Linked DNA regions of Lonchura striata. The protein of the gene in region 2 binds, or shares a complex with, the protein of the main gene of each other region. Links are inferred from orthologs where the notes say so. Each region holds a gene or a part of one and is shown on either strand. Other genes may lie near its edges.

Region 1 (7,022 bases), on a different chromosome or scaffold from region 2:
AGTCTTTGAATATTAATTTGTGTTCTCAGAGACCACAGGGCTGAAATCAATGGGCTGGATTAGAATCTTCTCCTTTTGCCTGAAACAAGCTTTTAGTCCTTTAAATTATGATAAAGGCCAGGAGGAAGAAGAATGGATTTTAAAAACCTCAGAAGGAAGCAGGCACATTAAAAAGTCAACATTTATTGCTGTATATTTAAGAAATTAATGCTCAAATGTGGAAACATTGTGGTAGGAGGGACACCCTTTAAAGCAGCAAGTGTTTATACAAGCAAAAGCAGGAAAACCCAATTTTCCCCTGGCTTAGATTTTGTATTAACTCAACATTTTGATGAACTGGGAAAAGAATGAGTCTGCAACAGCTTATTTTGATAAAACCTTTATTTTGAAGAGGTCTGAGCCAGCCACACAAGAGCTGTGACAGACTACAGTCAACAGGTCACCACTGTGTGATTTTTTGCATCAGTTTGCAAACAATCCAAGCCACTGTTTGCAGTTTTTTCTGCCCTCATAATTGGGTTGAAGCAAGGCACCAACTCTGTGTAACAGGGTGAGAAATAGGGCTCAGTAATCTCTGGGGTTTTTAATGTACAGACAGAACAAGAAATCCAGAGATTCAAATTCAGTCTCCATAATTTTCTCTGAGCTTTGACTTGCCCTGCTGTAGGTAAGATCATAGCTTATATGTCTAGAGAGAAATGGAGAAAGGTTGGATAAAAGAGTAAGACAGGTTAATTAATCAGTATTAATCAGTATTTCCATGGCTGGAAACCTATGAACAAACAGCATCTGCTTAAAATGCTCTAAAGCAGTGGGATCCATAGCTAGGTGCTAAAATAGATATCCTATCTTGCACATGTTTTGGAAAACATTAAAAAAATAAACACATATAATTCTTCTATCTCCAAACCATTTCACAAAATTTCACCCTCCAAAGACTCAGAGATCTGTGTCCTCTGTGTCATGTACTGGGGTCATGAAGCATGGTTGAGAGAATACAAAGTTAATACATCAAAGAACTAATTTGGCTGGTTACTTCTGAACATCTGTAGGTGTTCCAGAGATATATCAAGACTGCTTGAAGGTAACCCCTGCCCAAAAAAATAAATCCAAACAGAAAAGAAACTATCGGTTTTTGGGTTATCAGTTGAGAAACCAGATTCCTTTTTCTGCAGGGAAATAGTTATAGATTTAAACACTTGCAGATTCTAAAGTGAAACTGCTGATATGGCCTTATCATACCTTAGGTAGGCTGCATTTAATGGCGATCGTATCTGCCACTCTTCTTGACACAAAGTCAAAATCCTAAGACCTGCAAAGTTTTATTGTAGCATTCAAATGTGAATACAGTAATCAGTTGGAACATGAGCTACTTTTTCCACTATTCTATTAATAAACAACAATTTTCAGTACAATTGCCACATAGCACACCCTCTTTCTGCTTTTAAATTGTCATTGTAAGCCAATCATGAGTGTAAATGTTGGTGTTTAAACATGATGTAACCATTAACATATTAACATAGCTAAGGAGGCAGTTAACGTTCTGCCTAAGATCTAATTTACTGCATTCTTAGAAAGAAAAAGCATAAAATCTGAAAATTAATCATGTGAGAGTTGTCTAGATGAGGAAATGCTTCTGATCTTGTATCAGACACACCAGTGCACAGTGCCCTGAGCTGAGCACACAGCTGAGCTGGTCTGCCCAGCAGCTCCCACGATTTGTGGGGTGCTCTACTTCATGTGCTCCCTCAAGTACCTTGCAAGGAGAAAATGCTCCACCTTTGGTCAAGCCTCACCTCTCCTGTTTGCCTTTTGTCTCCTGAAACGTGTGGTAGAAGAGTGGTGCAAACTTTTTTGGTGTCAGGAGCTGAACTCAGGTCTTGTCAAATTTCAAATTCTTAGCTCCTCATTTTTAGAATTTCAAGGTATAAGATGCCTGATTCACCTACAGATAGAATGCCTGCACTGACCTGACAATCTATTTCAAAGAAAGTCACAGAACTAGACTGATATACATCATCATATGGTGAAATTCGGAATTTGATTAACCAGATGCTATTATTTTCTTTAATATCTCATGAATAGAAACTACGGTGTAAAAACAACTCCAAACAATCTCTCACTGGGAAATCTGACATATGGCCTGCTAAGCTGCTCTCCTACAGAAATAGCAAAAGATCATTACTCTTGGCATCATTCCCTACAGCAGGCACTGGGCTCATTAAAACAGACACTACGCGATTGACTCCATAAGGAAGATTATTTCTACAGATGGGTAGAAACAATGAGCAAAACTACAAAGGCCGAGTTGAAAGAAGTAGTCAAGGAGACTTCTCCACCTCCATAACTTCTGTGCACTAAAACAAAGCAAAGCAGCACCATTTTGCTGGAAATAAGAAGATGCATCTTCTCCTCTCTGTTCACAGTATACATTTCCGTCCTACTGATGTAGTGTTTCATTTAACTCGCTCTTCTGGAGGGTTTCTGCCGAATAGGAGTACCCTGATGTGAACAGAGAGTTTGCATCCAGCAGGGGCCACTTGCTGCCAGTGTTTAGTCCCCACTCAATTAGGAGTAAAGGAGCTGTTAATGCTGTCCCGGGCTGAGCGATGGAGGATTGGGACAACCAAACCCACGCCGTGCCCCAACCCCGCTGCAACCCACACTTCCCCGGTGATGTTACCCTGGGAAACGTAAACCAAACCTCTGGGACGTGGCATCACAGGACAGGAAATGTTAACACAATTAGGATGTGGCAATGATAATCTGATGCAGCGCTCACGCAATCCCATTTAGCAAATGTATGCATTTGAAAGCAGCTCCGCTGTGATTATGTTCTTGCAACACATCCCCTCTACGCTGCTGCGTGGACTGTCTAAATTTAGACCAGAACATGGCGCAGTGGATGGCTCTACCACATTGCACCTCTGGCCTGGTGCACACGCAGAATGGAACAGGCTGTGAGCAGCTCCAGAGGCGACGCAGCATCAGTGACCAGGACATACATCGCACCCGGAGCATCAGTGGCAGGGACAGGCATGGCACTCAGCAGCTGGAGGACACGGGGGCTGAGGGACAGGGGCTGAAGGACACGGGGGCTGAAGGACACGGGGGCTGAAGGACACGGGGGCTGAGGGACAGGGGGGCTGAGGGACACGGGGGCTGAAGGACAGGGGACTGAAGGATATGGGGGCTGAAGGACACGGGGGCCAATGAACACGGGGGCTGATGAACACGGGAGCTGAGGGACAGGGGGCTGAGGGACAGGGGGGCTGAAGGACACGGGGGCTGAAGGACACGGGGGCTGAGGGACAGGGGGCTGAGGGACAGGGGACTGAAGGACACGGGGGCTGAAGGACACGGGGGCTGAGGGACACGGTAGCGGCCCTCTGGCAGGGCGGGTGGCGGGCAAAGGGCCGGTGAGCGCGGCGCAGAGAAGCGGACTCTCAGCGGACGGGAGGTGCCAGCACCGCACGGGCTCCCCGAGGCCCCGGGGCGGTGTGCGGGGCTGCGCCCGGGCCCCGCCGCCGAGGGACGGAAGGAGACGAGGCGCGGGCAGGGCGGCCACGCCGGGGCAGCGCCGCCATGACCTTCACACCTCGGCGCGTGACGTCACGGCCGCGGCTGACGTCACGCGGCGGTGACGCAGCGGCCCGGGCGAGCCCCGGCGGAGGGGCGGGCAGCGGGCGGTACCGCGGGCGGCGCCGCCGGGGGCAGCAGCGCGGGCGATGCCGAGCCGAGCCCTCCCCGCCGCCCCGGCCGCACCCGCCCCGAGAACCCCGCCGACCCCGCCGCCACCGCCACATCCGGGTCCCGGCGGCGCCCCCCGCCGAGGGGCGGGACCAGAGCCCGGAGCCGCGCTTCCGATTGGCCGGTGCCGCGGGGCCGCGCGGGGATTTGCCGGCGCTCGGGGGGGCGGGCGTTGCCCGCTCGGCGGCCGCCCATTGGGCGAGGCGGGCGCGGAGCCGCTCTGCCGTTGGCGGGCGGGCGCGTCCGGTGCGGGGCCGGGGGAGGGTGCCATTGGCTGGAAAGTAGGTTAGTGGTGCGCCGTCGGGTGGCAAGCCAGGCGGAAAGTAGGTCAGGGACGGGGGCTGCCTGCGCCGGGCGTGCGGCGCTGCCGGGGGGCCGCGACCCCCGCCCGCGCTCCCTTCGGCCGGGCGCGGCGCGGCGAGGGGCGCGCGGAGCCGCGGTGAGCGCCAGGGGCGGCGGGCGGGGGGCGTGAGGGGCAGCGCGGCCCCGGCGGAGCCGCCGCCCCCGGGGGCCGCGGGAGTCCCGGGAGGGGCCCGGGCCGGGCGATGGCGGCGGCGGGACCCCCCGGCGGCGGTGCCGGGCTGCGGAGCCGGGAGCCGGGAGCGAGGCGGGGGCCCCGTTACGGAGCGGCCCCGGGGCGGGCTGGCCCGGCGGTGTGGCGGCACCGCGGGGACGGGGCGGGCGGGCCCGGAGCCCTGTCAGAGCCGGGCCGGGGTCCCGCGGAGGGCAGGCGCGGCGGCGGGGGCGTGCCGGGCTGTGCCCTCTGCCCGGTGCGAGTCGCCCTCAGGGGTGGCGAGGCTCGGGCGGCCCTCACGGAGGGGACGGTGGCGCTTCCCCTGCCCGAGCGGGGTCTCGGCCGGCCGCTCCGGGATGGGGGCGGCCCCTGTGAGCGCCAGGAGGATGGCGGTGCTGGGGAATTCCCCGCTCGGTCCCGCCCGCGGGCAGGTGCCAGCCCCGCGGCCGGCGGCTGCTGGCGCCGCACGGAGCGTCCCGGGACGTGCCGGGGCTGTTCGCCCCGGGATCCCCGCATCCCGATCCCCCTCCGCTGCCCTGGCCGACACCTGTGTGCGAGGGGAAGGGAGGAACGGAGCACACCGGGAACACCGAGGCGCCTTCCCGAGATCGGGGATTTTGCGCTTGGGGAGGCAAGGGAATCTCTTTGCATTTTTAATTGCTGAGGTTTCTGTCACTCCGGTGTCTCGATTATAACAGTTTTGGGAAGATTTTTGTGCCTGAAAAACAACGGTGAAGGAACAAGTGGGTGTGTTTTCTTGCCTTGGAAGTAAATTTGCTTGCTGGAATTTCATAGCATTTCCTTAGTGTGTGAGGTAGAAAGGGTCAGCTGCAGAGTGTGTTCTAATCTCTTTTCAAAATTCAGCCTTTAAGTGTATTTTTTTTTTTTAAATTCTGGAACTTCAGCATTCAAAATATTATGTTTCTTTTTTTTAACACGCTCATATTAAAAGTACCTTTTCTTTTATTAAAAGGGCTCATTAAATGTGAGCGACTGATAGTACGCAGGCTGCAGCTGAGTCTGTAAGGGAGGAAAGAAAGAGTTTTGTTCCAATTAAGTATTAATTCCAGCTAACTGTCTCTGTAAACGGTCTTGCAGGAGGATGAGGTTAAACTCTGCCCTCTTCATAATGTATGTTTTGTATCCTCCAGGAATATGTAAATAGCTCTTTGAAGCATCAGGAACTACAGACCTCTCTCTGGTTACTGTAAACCACAGCTGCTTATTAAGGAAAAAGGCTTTACTCCTCCTGACCTCTGTGGGTTTGTGCTTCTCATGACCATTCCTGGATTTTTACCCCTGCTTGTAGAAATTGAGCGTGTAAAATAATCTACAGCCACAGCATTTCATTGGGGTTTTATGCTGTTTTATCCCAAATTCTCTTGCACGCTGTGCATTTCTGTTGTCTCTTTGGAGGCCAGCTGTGGTGTGTGGGGCTGTGAAGGATCAAGCTCTGTAAAAGAAGTTCTGTGGGAGAGCAGACAAGAGAGAAGCACCACAGAGAACGTGAAGCTGCCTGGTTTGGGTGTGGGGAAGCTAAGGTGGCTGGAGCTGGCATTCCACAATGCCAGAGCTGGAATTAGGGGCTGCTGCCACGTTCCTGTCACCATGTGCTCCCAAGAGACTCTCTGTGTTTGGGGACCCTTGCTAGGGATGTATTAGGAATGATGTATTAGTGATGTTTGTAGGGGGACTTTAAAGGAGATTTGTTTTTCTCCTTCAGATACCTGCTCTCAAAGATTATTTCGGGCACCCAGGAGTAAGAAGAGAGAGCATTTATTGGGTTTATTTGGTGGAGCTTGGGGTTGCACACAGTCCTTTGAAGCTGTGCAGGACTGATGGCAAAGCTGAGACCTGTGAGAGCTGCAGCCCTTGAGCTGCAGGTGAGGAAGGCAGATTTTCCAAGGGAATGGATATCAAGGATGCTGGAAATACCAGGAGATGTGCAGGTTATTTAGTTTACATGAGTACAGAAGTGCTGTTTCCGTGCTCAAATGTAACATTTTAAGCTGTTTTCAGCATGGGGCCTATTGCCTGTGTTGTTATACTTTGAGGGAGTTACAGGGAAACCTGAAGGAATACATTATTGTTAAGTGAAACAAAGTAAATTTGGTGCATCCTGTAGCGACTTTCAGTTCTGTAACCTGCAAGCTTTTCATTCTTAACCTTTACCGTCAGTTTTATCTATAGTTCTGTTTCTAAAAAAGGGCAGAAAAGTAGTAAAAGGCAGCTGCTTGTATCCCCAAGTGTTAGGAAGTTAGTTGTCTTCAATAAAAACTGTATAAAGGCATATCATAAGCAAATGACTGCAAAGAGAAGCCCAAAATAAATACATCTTTTTAATCTTGTGTAGCTTTTTGGTTCTCACTAAGTTTACAGAATGCAATATTTAAGCTTTCTCTATTTACTTTGATACAGTAAACATGTTTTGAAACTTTAATTTTTGGCTGTCATCATATTTTGAGAGCTTCAGCCTGAAATAATTGATTTTTATAAAGGCAGTCACTGACTGGATGATGCTGACTGGGAACTCAGTTACCAACTTTTGAGATTTGGTTATTGAACATTCTGCTTGATCAACCCACAGCAATGACGGTCTGTGTTTTGAAGGTGCTTGAAGATGAAAATGAGGTGGTTGATGGCATTTTCAAACCTGGTGAAAGAGCTTTCAGTGTCTCTAAGACACTGTAGGTAGATTTTGGGCAGTGGATTGATGATGGATGAAGCAAAGCAAAGGACCTGCCTGTGGGGTGTGTGT
Region 2 (7,950 bases):
TTAACACTGAAAGGTTAAATATACTTTGCAAAGTAAATAAACAGAAATTAAGAATGGCAGGAACAATCACTACTGACTTTGCTATGCCAGTACCTACTAACATCACCTCATAATCCTCAGAAACAGTTCTACACCTGCTTTCACACTCAGCCTTCAGTTTGCAGTGCTCATAGAGAAGCTAGTGCTTTCAAAAGGCTGAAACACTAAAATAAACTTTTCTTCACTTCAGAGATCTACCAAAGTCTTTGTCTCGAGCAAAACTAATTCATGACAGTGTGATGAAAAGGCACCTTTCAGCTGTAATTCCAATTCTTCTGAATTATATTTTGTATTAAAAACTGTATTAGGATGATAATTTTCTACTTCAAGAGGAGAGCTATCCATAGTCTTCATTATAAAACTAGGCTGAAACCATGAGGCACTGACAACAAATTATATGTATCTCCTGAAGGAAAGCGTAGATAAAAAAGAAGCTCCTTTCAAATGAGGAAATTACCTAGTAAAGAAAACTGCATTTTTGATTCACAAAACTTTTCAATACAAGTTTATTTGTTTTTAATAAAAAAAACCCCACAACTTTCCAAGTTGAAAAACATTTAATATAAAGAACATGTGGAGAAGGTGAGGGGCAATACCTCTACTATCACTTAATACCTTCAACTTTTCTCAGAAATTTAAAATCGGGGCGGGGGGAGGGAAAGCAAAAGCCTAAAGCTCTTAAAAGCAACAATTTATTTTACAAGACCAATCCAACCACAAAGATTCATGACTTCCATGAAATTCTATACCAAGAAGCTAATTAACCAACACTGCAAATAAAATTTAAGGTAATTACCACTGAGTTTTAAAATTGCTTAGTACAAAGAGAGCAAAGCTACCTACAGCAGAGGTTTGGAGGTCCTTAGAAGAGCATTAGTAACAAAAACATACTCCTTTCCTCACATTCTTTTATTTTACCTAAATGTGTTAAAACTTTTCCATGTAAGAGCATGAAGCGGAAGAAATAAAAAACAAGACATGGCTGAATGGCACCTGAAACTATTAAATATCAACCCGGAAGTTTGGGGTTTTTTTCCCTGTTTGAATTGTTTGTTAAGAAGCAGTAACCCTTGCCTTACCAACAAAATTCTCAGATAAACTTGCCATATTCTACAAAAACCTAAACCAAATACATTTTGTCTGGTAATCTGAAAGCAGCATCTGTAGCAAGTTTGAGAAAGTGTCTTAAGTGGATACATATGAAAATTAATAGTTTAACTTATAAAAAAAATTAAAAGCAAAATTACTTTCAACTAGAATCTCCCTATTACAACAATCAAATGCTGTCCATTTTCAAATAACAGGCCCAAATCCCACAGATATTTATAAACAAAGTCAATATTATTTCTGTAAAACTGAACATTGTGAAACAACTGCAACTGTTCATACTGAACTTTGCCAGGACTACCACAGTCGAGCTGTATTTCTCAAGTACTTCTTTCTCTAGAGTATTTGCTTAAACAATCCTCTTGCCTCCTGTTACACCTGTTAGCCAGAGAAATTATATAGGTTAACTATAACCACGTTAAAAAGAAAAAACAAAAACACAAAACCTAGGTAGTCAATTTTAACCTGGATCATTTCCTCAAGCTAGTTACAGGACCGATTTCCAAGAACCGTTGTGCTGGTGCAGCTGGAGCAAGGAAGAGGCAGACCAGGTCAAGTCAATACTGCCACCAAAAGCACTGCTTGTCAACCAGTCATTGAAGTAAAAATACCTACTTTAAGGATTTAGAGCATCAGGTTCTATGATCGGCCACTCTGCGTCTACATAGAGTTACATATTCCAGCCAAAACCATACCTGATTTCCCCTATGCCTCTTGGTAGGTTATCTCTTTAGCATATGAAAACAGGTATACAAAAATCTTACTGCAAATATATTTGATTAGTTCACAAGCACTACTCCCCATGGAAAAAAACCAAACATTTCCAATTTATACCGAGGCCTAAAATATCTGGAACTTGAAATTGAAACCAACGAAAAATCGTGATCCAACTTAACCCAAACACAAAACTGAAGTACCATGGATTTCCAGTCCCTCGCTGCTCGTATTTCACACCTGCATGCACGGAGCATTAAAGAGACTGACTTTAAGGCCGCAGTAACTCGAAAAAGGACCGGGGTATACTGAGAATCCCTCAGGTTTTACGAGCGTGAACACGTTGCGGTTATCGCAATAAAGTTATCGTAACCCAAAAACAAAGGGAAAATTAAAAGCCTACGAAGTGCATACGTAACCCCGCAGCTGCAGCCCACCTGCCGCAGGGAGAGCGCGGGGCACGCTCTCGCCACCGCCCGGAGCCCGAGGCCCCGCGGAGCTGTCCCGCCGCGGGGAGGGCCCGGGGCCGGGCGGGCACCGACCGCCGCCCGCCCGCCGTGTCAACACCCGCGCTGCGGGGCCGCCGCCGGAACCTCCCCCGCGCGTGGGGCGGCGGGCCCGGGCGCGCCCCCCGGCTCCCGCGGGACGAACCGCCCCGCGGAGCGGCGGCGCAGGGGCCGCGGGGGGAGGCGCCGCCCGCAGCCCTGCTCGGCCCGGCGCAGCCCGGCCCGCGGGATGCCGGGGAGTCCCGCGCCCGCCCGGCCCGGTCCGCGGGCGCGGGGCCAGGCGGGCGGCGCTCCCGCCGCGCCCCGGAGTTGTGACAGGAGCAAAGTGGGTCACCGGGCCTAGCGGGTGCCCCGCGAGCGCCCCCCGCCCCCGGCCGCGGCCGTGCCCGCCCAAGGGCAGCCGCTGCACTCCCGCCCCCCGGTTCGCGGCGGGAGACACACGCCGGCGCTGTCAAACTTCCTCCGCGCCGCGCCCCCGCCTTCCCCTCGCCAGCGCACACCGGGCCCCGGCGGGTCCGCCCGCACCGCCCCGCGCCGCGCTCGCTGCTCACCTGGCCCCGCGCTGCCGCTGCCCGCCTGCCTGCCCCGGCGAGCGCCGCTCCACGCGCGCAGCCCCGCGCCCGCCGCCCGCCGGCACTGCCTGACTGAACCTGCTGCTCCCGCTCCTCCGGCGGCGGCACGGCAGCACCCGGGCCCGGGAGTCCCCCCGACACCACCGCGCCTGCGCCGCCGAGCCCCCACCGCCGCCGGCCGCCGCGGCGCCTCGCGCCACCGCGCGTGCGCCGGCGCGTACTGCAACCCGCGGCAGCCCGGGGCCGCCGCCGCCGCCTCCGCCGCGCGTGCGCAGGAACGGCACGGCGGGGCGGCGATCCCCGCTCTGCGCGCGCGCCTCGCCTGGCGCGCGGGGGGGCGGGGGAGGGCTGCGCGCGCCGCGCAGGCGCGGTGGGCGCGCGCCTCCTTGACCTCGGCTCACCTCGCCTGGCCTCACCCCGGGGCGCGGGAAATGGCGGCGGACGGGGCGCCGCCCGCCGAGCCCGCGGAACGGGCTCGCTGAACGCAGCCGCTTCCCCGCCGGCACCGTGAACCCGGCGCAGAACGCCGTCGCACGCGTGTTCCGAAAGCGGAACGAGCGACATCCCGGGTCCTGTCCGGGAAATGCGTCCCGAGGTATTTAGGGGTTCAACGAACCCGTCCCAGCGGAGGTCCGTGGTTTGTTCTTTCCTGTGCATAAAGCGGAGAAATTCCCAGAGCGGCAGAGACCAGACGTGTTTGCCTCAACCCTTTTGTACGTACGAGGCTTTTAATACAGTTCCATAATATTTAAATATAAACCTGCTATGCCTGCAGCAAAACATTGTGGCGAGTCGTTTTTTGTAATATAAAACGCTTAGAAGTAAAATTGTGTAAGTAATCCAAATTTTTTTCTCACAGTTAAAAGGATTTTATTTTTTAATTGGTATCTGAATAGCAATGTATTTAAAAGTATCTGTATAAGTTTAATTCGTGTTTATGTCTAGAATAAAATAAAGAACTTGACTGCAAATTGTCATGGATTTCTTTCTGGGTTACTTTTCAGGTAGTTCAGTTTCCCCATTTGATTCACAATCGTGACCAAAGTCTAGTGCAAAGATACTGTAGGGACAGGAGCTTCTTTACCAGTAAAGCTCCCAAAGAGCTGACCATAAGCTTTTCCACTGGAAGAATTCTGAAAAACATTAGCAAAACTGTTTATTTTTGTTTCTGATTCACAATACTCTAATTTTAGCTTTCAGTTGAGGAAAATGTGGCATAAGGAAAGATAATTATACTATCTTATGCACAAAGGATAACACTTATGATAAAATGTAGTAGAGACAATAGGGTAGGATTGGAATATCAAGGAAAAAATGCAGGAATATTTTCACCAAAAATGCTTATTTATCAGAACTAGAATATGGCAAAGAAACCAGGAGGCTACAAATAACTTTGCGCTGTATCTATTGAATTTTCCAGAAGATCTTTAATAAGCAGTGGTAATTCTTCAGAAGAAGGGGTGCTGCACTATCTCTTCACACCTTGCATGAATAGGAGCATAACACCTACTCACTGCAATGTTGCAGTGACAAATTATTCTTTGACAAGATCAAAACAAGCAACACAGCTGTGGAGATGATGCACATTTGCATTTTCTGCCAAAGCTGTGGCCTAAGCAAGGTCATTTTTTTAATGCTGCTTTTCTTTTGGCAGTATTTTGTAGGATCCTGAAGGAGCAGAACAGCTTAGAGATGGTGTGGTGGTTTTATGAACTATTCTTCTAGAAATACTATTGCTCTGCTCTTGCCATCAGTGTGGCTTTGCTGTGTAATGGTAGTTGTGGTTCACTCACAGACTGTGAAAGCAAACACAACTTTTAAACAATGCCAAATTAGGAGCAGCAGATCTTTTGTGAATTGGTGAACGGTTGGACTCCATTGAGCTGGAAATGGAGACATTTCCAATGCACTTCCATTAACTAATAGCCGTATTTCCTAGAGAAATGCCATTGCTGTCCTGCATAATGTACTTCAGAGCCACAGAATGACCACCTGCTTAGTGTGCTCCTTTTTGATCCACACTGGCCTGTTCAAAAGAGGATCTCTTATAGGAAACTGGTACCAAAACTAAATTTCACATCACTCCAGAATACTAAAATGAGCGGATGTTAACTTGAAATCCTGTCACAATCCACATAACCCTTGCAAAGCAGGGTTGGCTAATATTCCTGGAGCCTTTTCTGCCAAACAGTGTAAATGACTCAGTACCAGAAACATCTGGTTTTAACCTGCAGATTACCTTGGATTTTGCTGCTGCTTTGTCACATCTGATGGCTTTTATTACAACCGTGTGATCACTTTGGTTGAACAAAGGCAGGGTCACCAAAGGGGGATGTTTGGCTCTTTTCCTGTTGCATCTGCTTCCACTGTCACACACTGTCCCTTGCAGCAGCCACAGTAGTGGGAGGGAGGCTGGCAGCTGAGAGGAAGCAATGCTGCTTTTATAGCAGCCAACTTTGATACTTGAAGGGACTGTGCAGTCGTATCTAAAGTCCCTGATGACCTATTTACATTTAAAACTACTAGCTAGCGTTCTAGTTTGAAGTGGCAGATAACGGCACATAAGCCGTTGTCTCTGAAATGCTTCTACTAGTTATCTCTGAATCTGGAAAATAAAAGCTTCCAGCAGTGGTATCTGCCAGTAGGTATCCACCAATAGGCTTACCAAAGGGGTAGAAAACCGTATTTGAACTAACTTATGTCAGAACACATGATCTTAATTAATTTTTTTTCAAGCAATACATGTTTTTATCTCAGTAAAATATCTTACCATGAAATTGCAAAATACCGTGCCTAGGCAATATTCTTACCACAGAATTATGTAAATCTTATGCAAGTTATTTGCCTTTTTTTCAGATTCTTTTTTCCCTTCAAAAATAATCAAATACCTTTTCAACTTTTAAGAAGTGGACTTTAGATCTCCTCCCCCTTGTTTAGCTATCCCAATGAACCTGCCTTGTATTTCACCAGTTTATATACAAATACTGTGGCTAAACACCTTGTAATTCTGAGTGCAGCAGTTTACAATGGCTTTGAGAAACTTGCCTTCTGGAAACTTTCAGGCCAGCAGTTTGAGGTGTTCATTAACCAGTAAACACATTGGGATACTGAAAAAGAATAAGGAAATATAATGACAGTTGTGGTGTAAATGATGTGTAAAATAACTGAAGTTATTAAAGCATTTGAAGAGCACAAGTCTTCTATCCTATAGTCTGCTTCTACTTTAATTTGTTATAAGAATTGCAGGACAAATTTTATTTAGCTTCTTCCAAGATCATTATGATTTAAAGAGCTGTTGAAGTAAAAAAACATAGCAGGCACAGTCTAAGAAATATGTTAGTAAAGCTACCAGACACTTCAGGCACTGTACCTCAGTTTCATTCCTCACTAAGTTTTTAAAACTGATTTTGTCCATTGTAGAATTTAAATAATGTTTTTGAATCTGTAACATACATTCTACTTTATTTAAACTAGATTTTAATTTAACATCTAAATACTTCTCCATTCCCTAAGTAACATCGGGGAAACCTTTGTATATTTTTATTTTTAGCATGTCTTACCATGTTCATTATTTTCATAGTTACTATTTAAAATACAATCTATATAAACCCCAAAAATCAACCAGGAAATGAAGAAAACACGGACACAGAAAATGCCAAAACCAACAGGGATTTTTTGTTCCCCTCCAGGCCTTTGAGCAATTAGGATCTTTTGAATCTGACTGAAGTTAAATCAGCTGGCGTGGCCTGTGGACCTTGGAGGTCAAAGGCAGGTGATCCAGTTTTGTCATGAGGATTTTTGTGGATACTCATTCCTAAGGGATTACAAATTTCCTCAGAGGCTCTTATTTATGCAATGGTAAAATATAGAATTGCTTCTCCATTATATAAATCAAATTAAAATCAAGAAAGGCCACTGGTTTCTCTCTTCAGATCTTGAAATTTAAATTACTGTAATTCTAACAATTTCATTTGGTTGTCCTATTCCTTTTGCTCCTGGAAAAAATATTTGATTCCTGACAATTGAGAAGAAACCCCCTCCCAAAATACTTGAAGGAAAAGATAAAACTGTATGGGTATTCTCAGTTCAGTCAGAGAGAAAGGAGAGTTTCTAACCAGGCTGAATCTAAAACTGGTCTGAATCTAAAATATGATTATACATTCTGTACTAATTCTCAGTGTTTTTCAAAAACATCTGATAGAATTGCTAACATACACAGAACCAATCATGGGAGTCCTTTGACATTTCTGCTGCATCCTGTCACAACTTCTGCTACCATCTGAGAATTTACAGGGCCATCGATAAATTAACAAGTCCCCCAGCTTTCCTCAGTTTACGTAACTGAGACTTTTTCTGATGGGCTTTTGATTTGTTCACGTCAAAGGAGAAATAAAGGTAGAATAATCCTGTTAGACCACTCCTGCTGAGAAAAGAAAGTGAAAACAATGGACACCACTTTCTTAGTGAAACCCAGAGCTCTCAGTAAGGTTACATACATGGTGATAAACATGCACAGCAAAAGAAATCTTCCATGTATTTGAACAAAAGTGAACAATTAACTCTCACAAAGTGAATTAACAAATCGAGTAGGTCAGATGCGCTATGATTCCATTGTTTCTAAGAAATTGCTATTTCATTAGCCACTCTTATTTAATTTTTCTAGATTTTTTAAAAAGTGCTAGTTCAGTTCTTTGTGTTGAAGTATTCTACATCTTATGCAAGAATGTAATTACCTTGACCAATAAAGATTAATCATAGCCCAAACATCCTCTGGAGCATTTGTAAACTTCTTTCACATACTGCTTTCCACAACTTTCTCTTAGCTTCACATACTTTTGCTTCCTCTGAAGACATTTCCATTCCTGCAAGAGCTGCTGCTTAATTAGAGAGTAAAAATAATAATAGGCATCTTTGCAACATTTTACATGCATTTTACAATAATATCTAGTGCAACGCAATTACTTAAATTATTTGAGTAATTCTTGGGCTCACAGTCAACATTTTAGAGCTAG
Region 3 (7,916 bases), on a different chromosome or scaffold from region 2:
AACATAACAAGCCCAAAGGGAAAGCAACTGAGTCACAGTGGCATCTGAGCTTCTCGGAAAGCCTCCGTCCAGCCTGTGTGCCTGGCTCATCTATCCATACTGTGAGGCACAGCACACGGCTGTATCACTGTTACCACATCATATGATCTCCTACTGACCAGTCTGTGGGAAATGTAATCCTTCTATGTGCAACTAATATGGTTGGTCTTTAATCCTCTGCAGCACAGGTCTGTACTGAAGGTTCAACATTCAAGTTCTTCTCTGCATGAAGTCCATTTTTTATCCTAGCATATAAAGTTACAAATTTGTGCCTTTTCATTTGCTTGCAAAAAATTATTAAAATAATAGGCCAAAATCTTTACCAAAATCATACTCTCAAATACAGCCATGTAAAATATAGTTCCCAAAAATTAGGAAAATACCAATTTGAGATCCCCAATTCAGAAAATACAGATTTGAGATCCCAAATTCATCCTTAGTTCTGCTATGCTATACACTTATAATATCAGGATTTCTTTACTTACCTACTGACATCTCAAGTGTTTTTCTGCCAAACAAGATGTCATTCAGTTGAATGGTAATGGGAATAAAACATGTAGAGAATTAGGCTGTTGTTTGTAGTATTCCTATCTCGTATTAGTTGCCCTTGGTACATAAATAAAGACCCACAGACTCACAGAATATTCTGAATTGGAAGTAGACCACAAGGATCATCAAAGTCCAGCTACTGTCCCTGCACAGGACAGCCCCAAGAATCACACATTTAGCTAAACAAGTAACATTATTTTAAAGTAAGATTTGGGATTCCTTATTGCAATCCTATGTAAATTAGACAAAGACCTTTTCACCCGAAAAAAAATGTCCATAGGCAGTCCTTGACTGGACTAATTTTGTCCTTCTCGATGTCCTGTAATCCAAAGAGACTCACGACACCCAGTGGTTATTACAAGTAACGCAGGCATACAGAAGCCATGTAGAACGTGAAGACGCTTCTCTCAGTTCTCAGATTCACAAAATTAAGATGCAACTAGAAAAATGAAGACACTGCACAAGTTACAATCCATATAAAAGAGTCTGTAGAGATGGCTCAACACCTACCAAAAAACCCCCAAAACTCCCAAAGCCACCATCAATATCTGAAATACAAACATAAATAATTTTGGAACTCCAGGAAAACATAACATCTAGCCTGCTTTGGAGCAAATAGTAGCTCTTCCATTATAACAATTTAAATCCTGTAGATTCATGCACCAGAAAAAAAAAAAAAAACAACACTATAATGAGGAGCATTGCACTTATTAAGTAAAGGTATCCTTCTACACCCTGTAGTTTTCCACACACTATATGGAAGAGCAGACAGAGGGGATGACAGTGCTGGGAGGTGAGGGAATGCAGAAGGGCTTGCTGCTCTCCAGAGCACTCTCGACTGCTGCAATGCTCTGATGCTGCAAGGGTTAAAAGCAGTCATTGGGCTGCTCTTTTGCACTGCTTCCCCAAATCCTCAGTTGGCCCAAAAGCCTAGAAGTTGTAAAAGGAATATTAAATCCACCTTTGTTCTCATCCAACATAAAACAGTATAGAAGAGTGTAAGAGCACTAAAAGTGCTTCATTCTTGTTATGCCATCTCTGTTAATAATTTGTCATTTTGAAATTGTCTTCATTCTGCCTTGTCTTAAATTGGACACATTTATGGTAAAGATGAAGTTGCAGATGGATATAACAATATGAAAGATGTGTATTTTGAAAAGAATACATATCTAAAGTTGAAATTTAGAAGACAAGGAGCCATTACTAAAGTACTTTCATTAGAGAAAAATCTTGTTAAGTCAACTTCTGGGTGAAATTCTATGATCACACAATGTTTCCTGCTTTGATATTTATTAAATAAGATATTAATTATTAACAAAATATATATGTGGAATGTCTTTTCAAAGAGATTTCAAGCTTTAATATTGTTTTAATGCCCAACAACACACTTTATCTGCATGAATTAATTCTTTTGTTGAGACCAATGAAAACTTATGAGGCATCATTTAAACAATATTTGTCTATTTATGTATTAAAATTACAGAAGTGAATAACAGAAGGAACAAAGATACCTGTATTAAAATATCATAAAAATTAGACTGGTTCAATGAAGTGAGATGAATAAAGATATTTATCTGCAAACTAACTTAATATAGTACTTCCTAAATTGTATTTTGTCTGTGATTGCAAAACAAAGCAGTGAGTATATGAATAAAAAAGATTGAGTACATGGTGTTTTCAGACCTAACCTTTCCAGTTCAGACAGTGTAATATGAAACGACATTCTTCTGACCTGGCTATGCTTTATTTCCAAAGTTTGCCAAACATTTCTTTCTACTGCTGTGTTAGGACAAAAGATTCTTTGTCCCACAAGCACTTATGAAGTCGATGCATCAACACCTTTATTAATTGTTCGGTAAGCACACATTATTTAACCACCTAATTAGATAAAAACTTGCCTCTGTCACTCTTAAGCCATGAAAGATGATTTCTGCATCTTCTCCTGAAAGAAAATATTCAACACCTTTTTTTAATAAGTGTTGAAACACCTACACTGAATAAACATGCAGTCATTCTTTTCACTCTTCCTGTTGTACAACCAGAATAAACAGGGAAGTGAACAAAAAGTTAATTCTTATTTGTCAAAACACTCGCCTTTAGGATAAACAAATCAACCACTGTATAACATAAGGAAAAAGGAAAACATCCTGTTGCCACTGACTGTAATCACTGAACTCACACAGTAAATGAGACCTTGGATCAATGAAGAATCAAATTAAATGAAAAGGGAGAGAAGGGGCAATGACAGAAATATTAATAAAACTACAAATACAGCATATTTGGAAGAGGAAGAATTTAGATGATGTTCAATATAAACCTAAGATTTAAGTCAACTTAATTCAGGGACATTTCGGTAATAAGATTTCATTTATTCAGAAAAAGGTTTACCTTGACTATCCAGGAAAACTTCTCTATTAAACAGTGTAGTATTTCAGTTATCCTACCTGCTGCCCCTTGGATGAAGGCCTGGTATCACATATCCCAAATCTGTTCTGAATCACGTAAACTGAACAGCAGGTTGTCTGTCCTAAACACAGGCTACTTGCTCTCTGGTGAGCTGTTTTCACTGAGCAGCCATGCATACTCCATATCCTGAGAAATCCGGCCTCTGTGGAGAACAGTAAGGGCTGTTTCAGGGTACAAGGCAACCCCAGACCATGCCTGTACAAATAAGATGATACAATAGCATTCTTAGCATGCTTTTCCTCAGACCTCAAAACTCCTGAACAGTAAGGGATCCAAATCCAGAGTCTAGAGATCACACATCTCACACTACAGCTTAGATGTAATCAGAGCCAACTCTGGCATTTCTGTGCTCAAAACTACATCCTAAGAATAAGAGTCACTAGTGTTCTCTCACAGCATTTCAGATTGGTAGGACTGGAACCCAACAGTGCCTTATTTTTTAAAATTATGGTGTCATTTAATGTAACCTCAGACATTTTTGTGTTGCATTTGGCAAGTTGTTTATGAGACTATGCTGAGATTAAAGGTCCTTCTCTTTTTCATTCAGGAATTTCTTACATCTTGTTGCCCTCCTAAATCAGCATATTTCAGGTTCCTTAACAAGACCATCATAACAATGAAAGTATTTCTTTCTATTTCTGTTTGAGGAATTAATTTTGTATTTGCTCAGGTCTTCCACACAGTCTTTTCAATTTGCTATAATGAAATGGCTTTCATGTCCAAATGCAAAGTATTCTGACAGATTTCTCGGTGCTGGTAGCATTTATGCAGTTCTCAGAACAAGAATAGCTACTCTAGCTTTTTCATTGAACCAGGGACTCACTTCCTCCTATTTATTTGCCCTTGGTTTATATGCTGTTCATGTAAACCAGATCCATGTATTTTACACTTTCCAACCACACAAAAGTTGGGGGTTTTTTTTGTTTTTTTGTTGGTTTTGTTTGGTTTTTTGTTTTGTTTTGTTTTTGTTTTTGTTTTCAGTCATGACAGGAAAAAGTGATTCTTCCCCTGTACTTGGCACTGGTGAAACCACACCTTGAGTTCTGTGTTGAATTCTGGGTCCCTCCCTTCAGGAAAGGACATTGAGGTGCTGGAGTGAGTCAGGAGAAGGGTGATGAAAGCGGTGAAGGATCTAGAGCACGAGTTCTGTGAGGAACAGAAGGGGGTGTTCAGACCAGAAGAAAAGGAGGCTCAGGGGTGACCTTACCACTCTCACAAGGAGGCTGAAAGGAGGCTGTAGCCGTGTGGGATTTGGCCTCCTCTTCCAGCAGCCAGAGACAGGACAAGAGGACAGCCTCAAGCTGTGCCCGAGGAGGTTCAGGTTAGAGATGAGAAGGAATTCCTTCACAGAAAGGATTATTAGACATAGGAACAGGATGCCCGTGGAGGTGATGGAGTCACCATACCTGAAAGTGTCTAAGAAAAGACTGGATGTAGCACTTAGTGCCATGGTCTAGTTGACATGGTGGTGTTAGGTCATAGGTTGAACTCAATGACCCGAGGTCTTTTCCAACCTAATTGATTCTGTGATTCCTTTTTTTGCCGTGTTTTCTCTCTTTGACAAGTTTGAGACCTCTTTGATGCTGCTTTCCTCATTCATGAACTGAGAGAGGCTACACGAAAGCCTGACCTTCTGTGTGGGGAAGAGCTGTATTTTTTCTGTGCAGCACTGGGGAGCCCCAGACTCGGGGCTCCGCTCCCGCCGCCCGGCTCCCTGACGCGCCCGGCGGCGCCGCCGCCGCCCCGCGCTCCCGCCGCCCGGCTCTGCGCATGCCCGCTCGGGGCGCGGCGGCCGCGCTGCCCCTCGGCGGCCGTGGGGGCGGGCCGTGCCCGGGCGGGTGCAGCGCATGCGCGGCGCGGCTGAGCTGTGGCGGCCCGCGCCCAGGTGAGGGGCGCCCCGGCCCGGCCCGGCCCGGCCCGGCCCGGCCCGGCGGGCGGCGGCGGCCGCGGGGGAGCGGCGGCGGCCCTCGGGCCCGGGGCTGGGCTGTACCTGCCGCGCCTCGCCGTGTGGCGGGGCGGCGGCTCGGACCGGCAGCCGAGTGGCTGGGCCCGCCCGAGCGGGCTCTCCTCGTGCCGCAGGAGTCTGGCGTGTGGGAGGCGGCTGGGTGGGATCGGGGGGAGACCCGGCCCTGGACGGCGGCGTGAGTGCCCGGTTCTAAGGGCGGTGCGCGGCCCAGGGCCTGCCCGCCGGGCCCAGCGGGGCGGCTCTGGCCCGGGGATGAGCAGGAGGTTTTTCACGCCCGTGCCTGGGGGGAGTGGCACTTCTGGTTTGTTTATTTTCGGTTGTGGTAGTGATATTTTGCTTTACTGTGAGAGAAGATGCTGTTAACGCTTCCCAAAGCTTCACTTGATGCAAAGCTGGCAGATAAGGTGTTCTTACTTTATTTCTAGCCCTCTCTGTTTCTTGTTTTAGTTTGAGATGGTTTTGGGGTTTTATTTTAGATCAACATTTCTGCTTATCACTTTCTTAAAAAAATACATTTGTTTTGGAAAGGGTTAAGTGAGGAAAGCATGGATCAGGACTTAAACCACTTCTTCCATTGCAGGGATAGCATCTAGGTTGCGCTTGTGTAACCATGTTTGTTCCATACCTGTTAGCAGGCAGGCAGGTGTGACTGAAGATGGAAAGTAAAAGTGATGCAAATAGCTACTTGAGGAATTTTTCTTCTGCTGACCATAATTCCAGTATTGTTGTAATAGACAGTCATATTCCCATTTCAGAATTCAATACTGGTGCTAAGACTCAGTATTTGGAGCAAACTTTTAGCAAACTTGGCAGGACCTGAAGAAGAAACTTGCATTTTGGTGTAGATTATTCCAGAATGTCTGTTGCTGTTCATTTGAAACAGCTTGTACTGCATATTGCTGCTGATGGACTGCTGGCCTGACCATGTTGCAGACTCCTGAGTTCCTGTTTTTGTAATTTAAATATAAAACTTAACATTGAGACATAACTTCAGTGGGTTACTTTATAGGAAAATAATTTCTACAAATAATAGTAGAAATTTCTGCACTTAATTCTGTCAGTTTTCTGTTAGCCAATTTCTCAGTTACTTTCTTTAAGAGAAGCAGAAACTTAATCTTACTGGATGCTGCCTACCCTCAGAAAGCAACTGAAGGTTGCGAAAAGTATGTAGTGTGGGAACATTTTACTGTTTTTCAAAGCTTTTAATTTCAGCCTTTCAATGCTTTCATTCTGGTTGTGGGTATTTCTAAGGCTCTGTCTCCCCTAGGAGTGTATTGCAGTATGTGTTGCTCTTTTAGCAGCATAGATTTCTTTAGCCCCCAGTGTGTTCACTGATCACTCATTCTTTTCTCTGATGACTTACTCTACTCTTGAGAATGAAACAAGCTCTGTTAGCAAAACCACAGTTTTGCAGGTTCAGCTGTATTTGTTGTAAGAGTTTCACCCAGCACAACAGTTTTGTTTTGCAATTCAGCCCTTGGGGCAACAAAGCTTTCATAAGATAAGTAATGCCCTGAGTAATTCCAATTCTTGAAATAAATGTTGTTTATGAATAGCCTTTAATTTTTAGTTTGTTTTACCTTTTTGGGGTGGAAAGGCATGTCCAATACATCAGTTTTTTATGTGAATTGCATTCTTTCAGGATTTTGAGATATTTCTTGAAGTCTGCAGTTAGATCACTGGCAGCTGTCCTCCACTGTTGTCTTATACTGATGGAACTTTCTTTAGATTCAGATAAAGTCCTTTTTTATTCTTAACTGTTTTTTCAGTTCCTCAATGGAAGAGGTGTTAAAAACTGCCCACGACACTATGGAAACACTCAGACAAAATAGTAATTTACTGACACCTGTGAGGAGTTGTTGGGCAGAGTGATGGAAATGAAGAGCTTCAACCATCGCTTCAGTATGGCGGCAGCTGAATCTGACAAAGACTCCGGATATTCAGGTTTAGAAAAACACTGTTACCTTTCTTGTGTGTTACTGTGCTGAGGCTGTGCTTTAATTGGTGTCATTTAACAAATCTGAGTAACCCCTTCCAGTTGGTGTCTCATTACCTTGGAGGACCTTCCTGTGCAAGATAGGTTTCCACTACAATCATCCTACCACCAAAGTTTTTTGAAGTGGAACATTACCAAATTACAAAGTTAATTTCAGTGAATTTGAATGGAATGGGAATTTAGAATTAATGGAATAATCTTAGACTTTAGAGTCTAGAAGTGGAGATGTCAAAATTACTTTTCCTTTGCAGTGATGAATGAATTGTTGGATTAAGTTCCCCAGTGCCTATTATGATCTGACCATATTGCCAGTAGAGCCTGATAAACCAGAGGGTAGTGGTTATAACATCAGTAAAATAATAGCCATGGTGTGCCATTTTAGTAGTCAACAAAACTGTGCAAAAATTACCTTTAAACAAGAGAAACAATTACTTCTATGAAAGATACCTGCTTCACTGGGTTTTCGATAGAAAATTTCAAGACACAAAATGCCTGCATCGCAAACTATGGATGTGCCAATGCTGGAGCCTATAGTGCTTTCCTGTATCAGTTTTTTGACTAATGCAACCTTGATGATACTATGCAGTCCCTTGGAGACATAAGTACAAAAGAACAGAAAGTAGATTTTTATGAGAGAAACTGTCTGTATAAGAATTGACCTGAGATACAAAGCCTTTTATTAGAGGCTGTCTGACATCTGTCATAGCAGCTTTAATTTTGTTGATATTACAGAACTAAACTTTATTGTTCTTTGTGACTTGGTTGAATGAGGCAGAATATTAAACTGAAAGGCAATAGTAAGCATGTTGCATGTGGAACAACTAACAGCTGAATTCTACATCTGACAGATGGAAGTTCAGAATGCCCAAGTGCTATGGAGCAGACGGACTCCGAGGATGT

The links.
Region 1: the proteins of CLOCK (region 2) and BMAL1 are in contact, whole or in part, in a crystal structure (PDB 4F3L), measured with the Mus musculus proteins. The link is inferred for Lonchura striata from reciprocal best matches to the Homo sapiens genes CLOCK and BMAL1. Residues at the interface, in NP_001276755.1 of Mus musculus: Arg46, Gln49, Phe50, Leu53, Ile54, Glu56, Leu57, Met60, Leu61, Pro62, Lys70, Ser71, Leu74, Gln75, Ser77, Ile78, Phe80, Leu81, Arg82, His84, Lys85, Thr88, Glu95, Ile96, Gln98, Asp99, Trp100, Pro102, Phe104, Leu105; in XP_030097882.1 of Mus musculus: Lys70, Met71, Phe74, Ile75, Glu77, Leu78, Ser80, Leu81, Val82, Asp93, Leu95, Leu98, Arg99, Ala101, Val102, His104, Met105, Lys106, Leu108, Arg109, Gly110, Ala118, Tyr120, Lys121, Pro122, Phe124, Leu125, Asp127, Asp128, Glu129.
Region 3: the proteins of CLOCK (region 2) and CIPC are in contact, whole or in part, in a crystal structure (PDB 5VJI), measured with the Mus musculus proteins. The link is inferred for Lonchura striata from reciprocal best matches to the Homo sapiens genes CLOCK and CIPC. Residues at the interface, in NP_001276755.1 of Mus musculus: Gln519, Leu526, Lys527, Leu530, Arg533, Ile537, Asn540, Ile541, Arg543, Gln544, Glu547, Leu548, Ile551, Gln554, Leu555, Val558; in XP_006515773.1 of Mus musculus: Asn401, Thr402, Val405, Leu406, Ser409, Leu411, Ile414, Thr415, Thr418, Leu421, Ile422, Asn425, Thr428, Gln429, Leu432, Leu435, Lys436, Thr439, Gln440, Phe442, Ile443, Thr446.

Annotation. Positions count from the first base shown.
Region 1 is NC_134608.1:58,750,520-58,757,541, forward strand, and holds the start of BMAL1 (basic helix-loop-helix ARNT-like protein 1), read left to right. Parts: upstream 1-3,957; 5' UTR 3,958-4,035; exon of another isoform or gene 4,036-4,077; intron 4,078-4,123; exon of another isoform or gene 4,124-4,189; intron 4,190-7,022. UniProt on the Homo sapiens protein: Transcriptional activator which forms a core component of the circadian clock.
Region 2 is NC_134606.1:27,395,220-27,403,169, forward strand, and holds the start of CLOCK (circadian locomoter output cycles protein kaput), read right to left. Parts: upstream 3,027-7,950; 5' UTR 2,918-3,026; intron 1-2,917. UniProt on the Homo sapiens protein: Transcriptional activator which forms a core component of the circadian clock.
Region 3 is NC_134608.1:22,217,111-22,225,026, reverse strand, and holds the start of CIPC (CLOCK-interacting pacemaker), read left to right. Parts: upstream 1-4,865; 5' UTR 4,866-4,939; intron 4,940-5,288; exon of another isoform or gene 5,289-5,424; intron 5,425-6,789; 5' UTR 6,790-6,891; coding exon 6,892-6,964; intron 6,965-7,864; coding exon 7,865-7,916.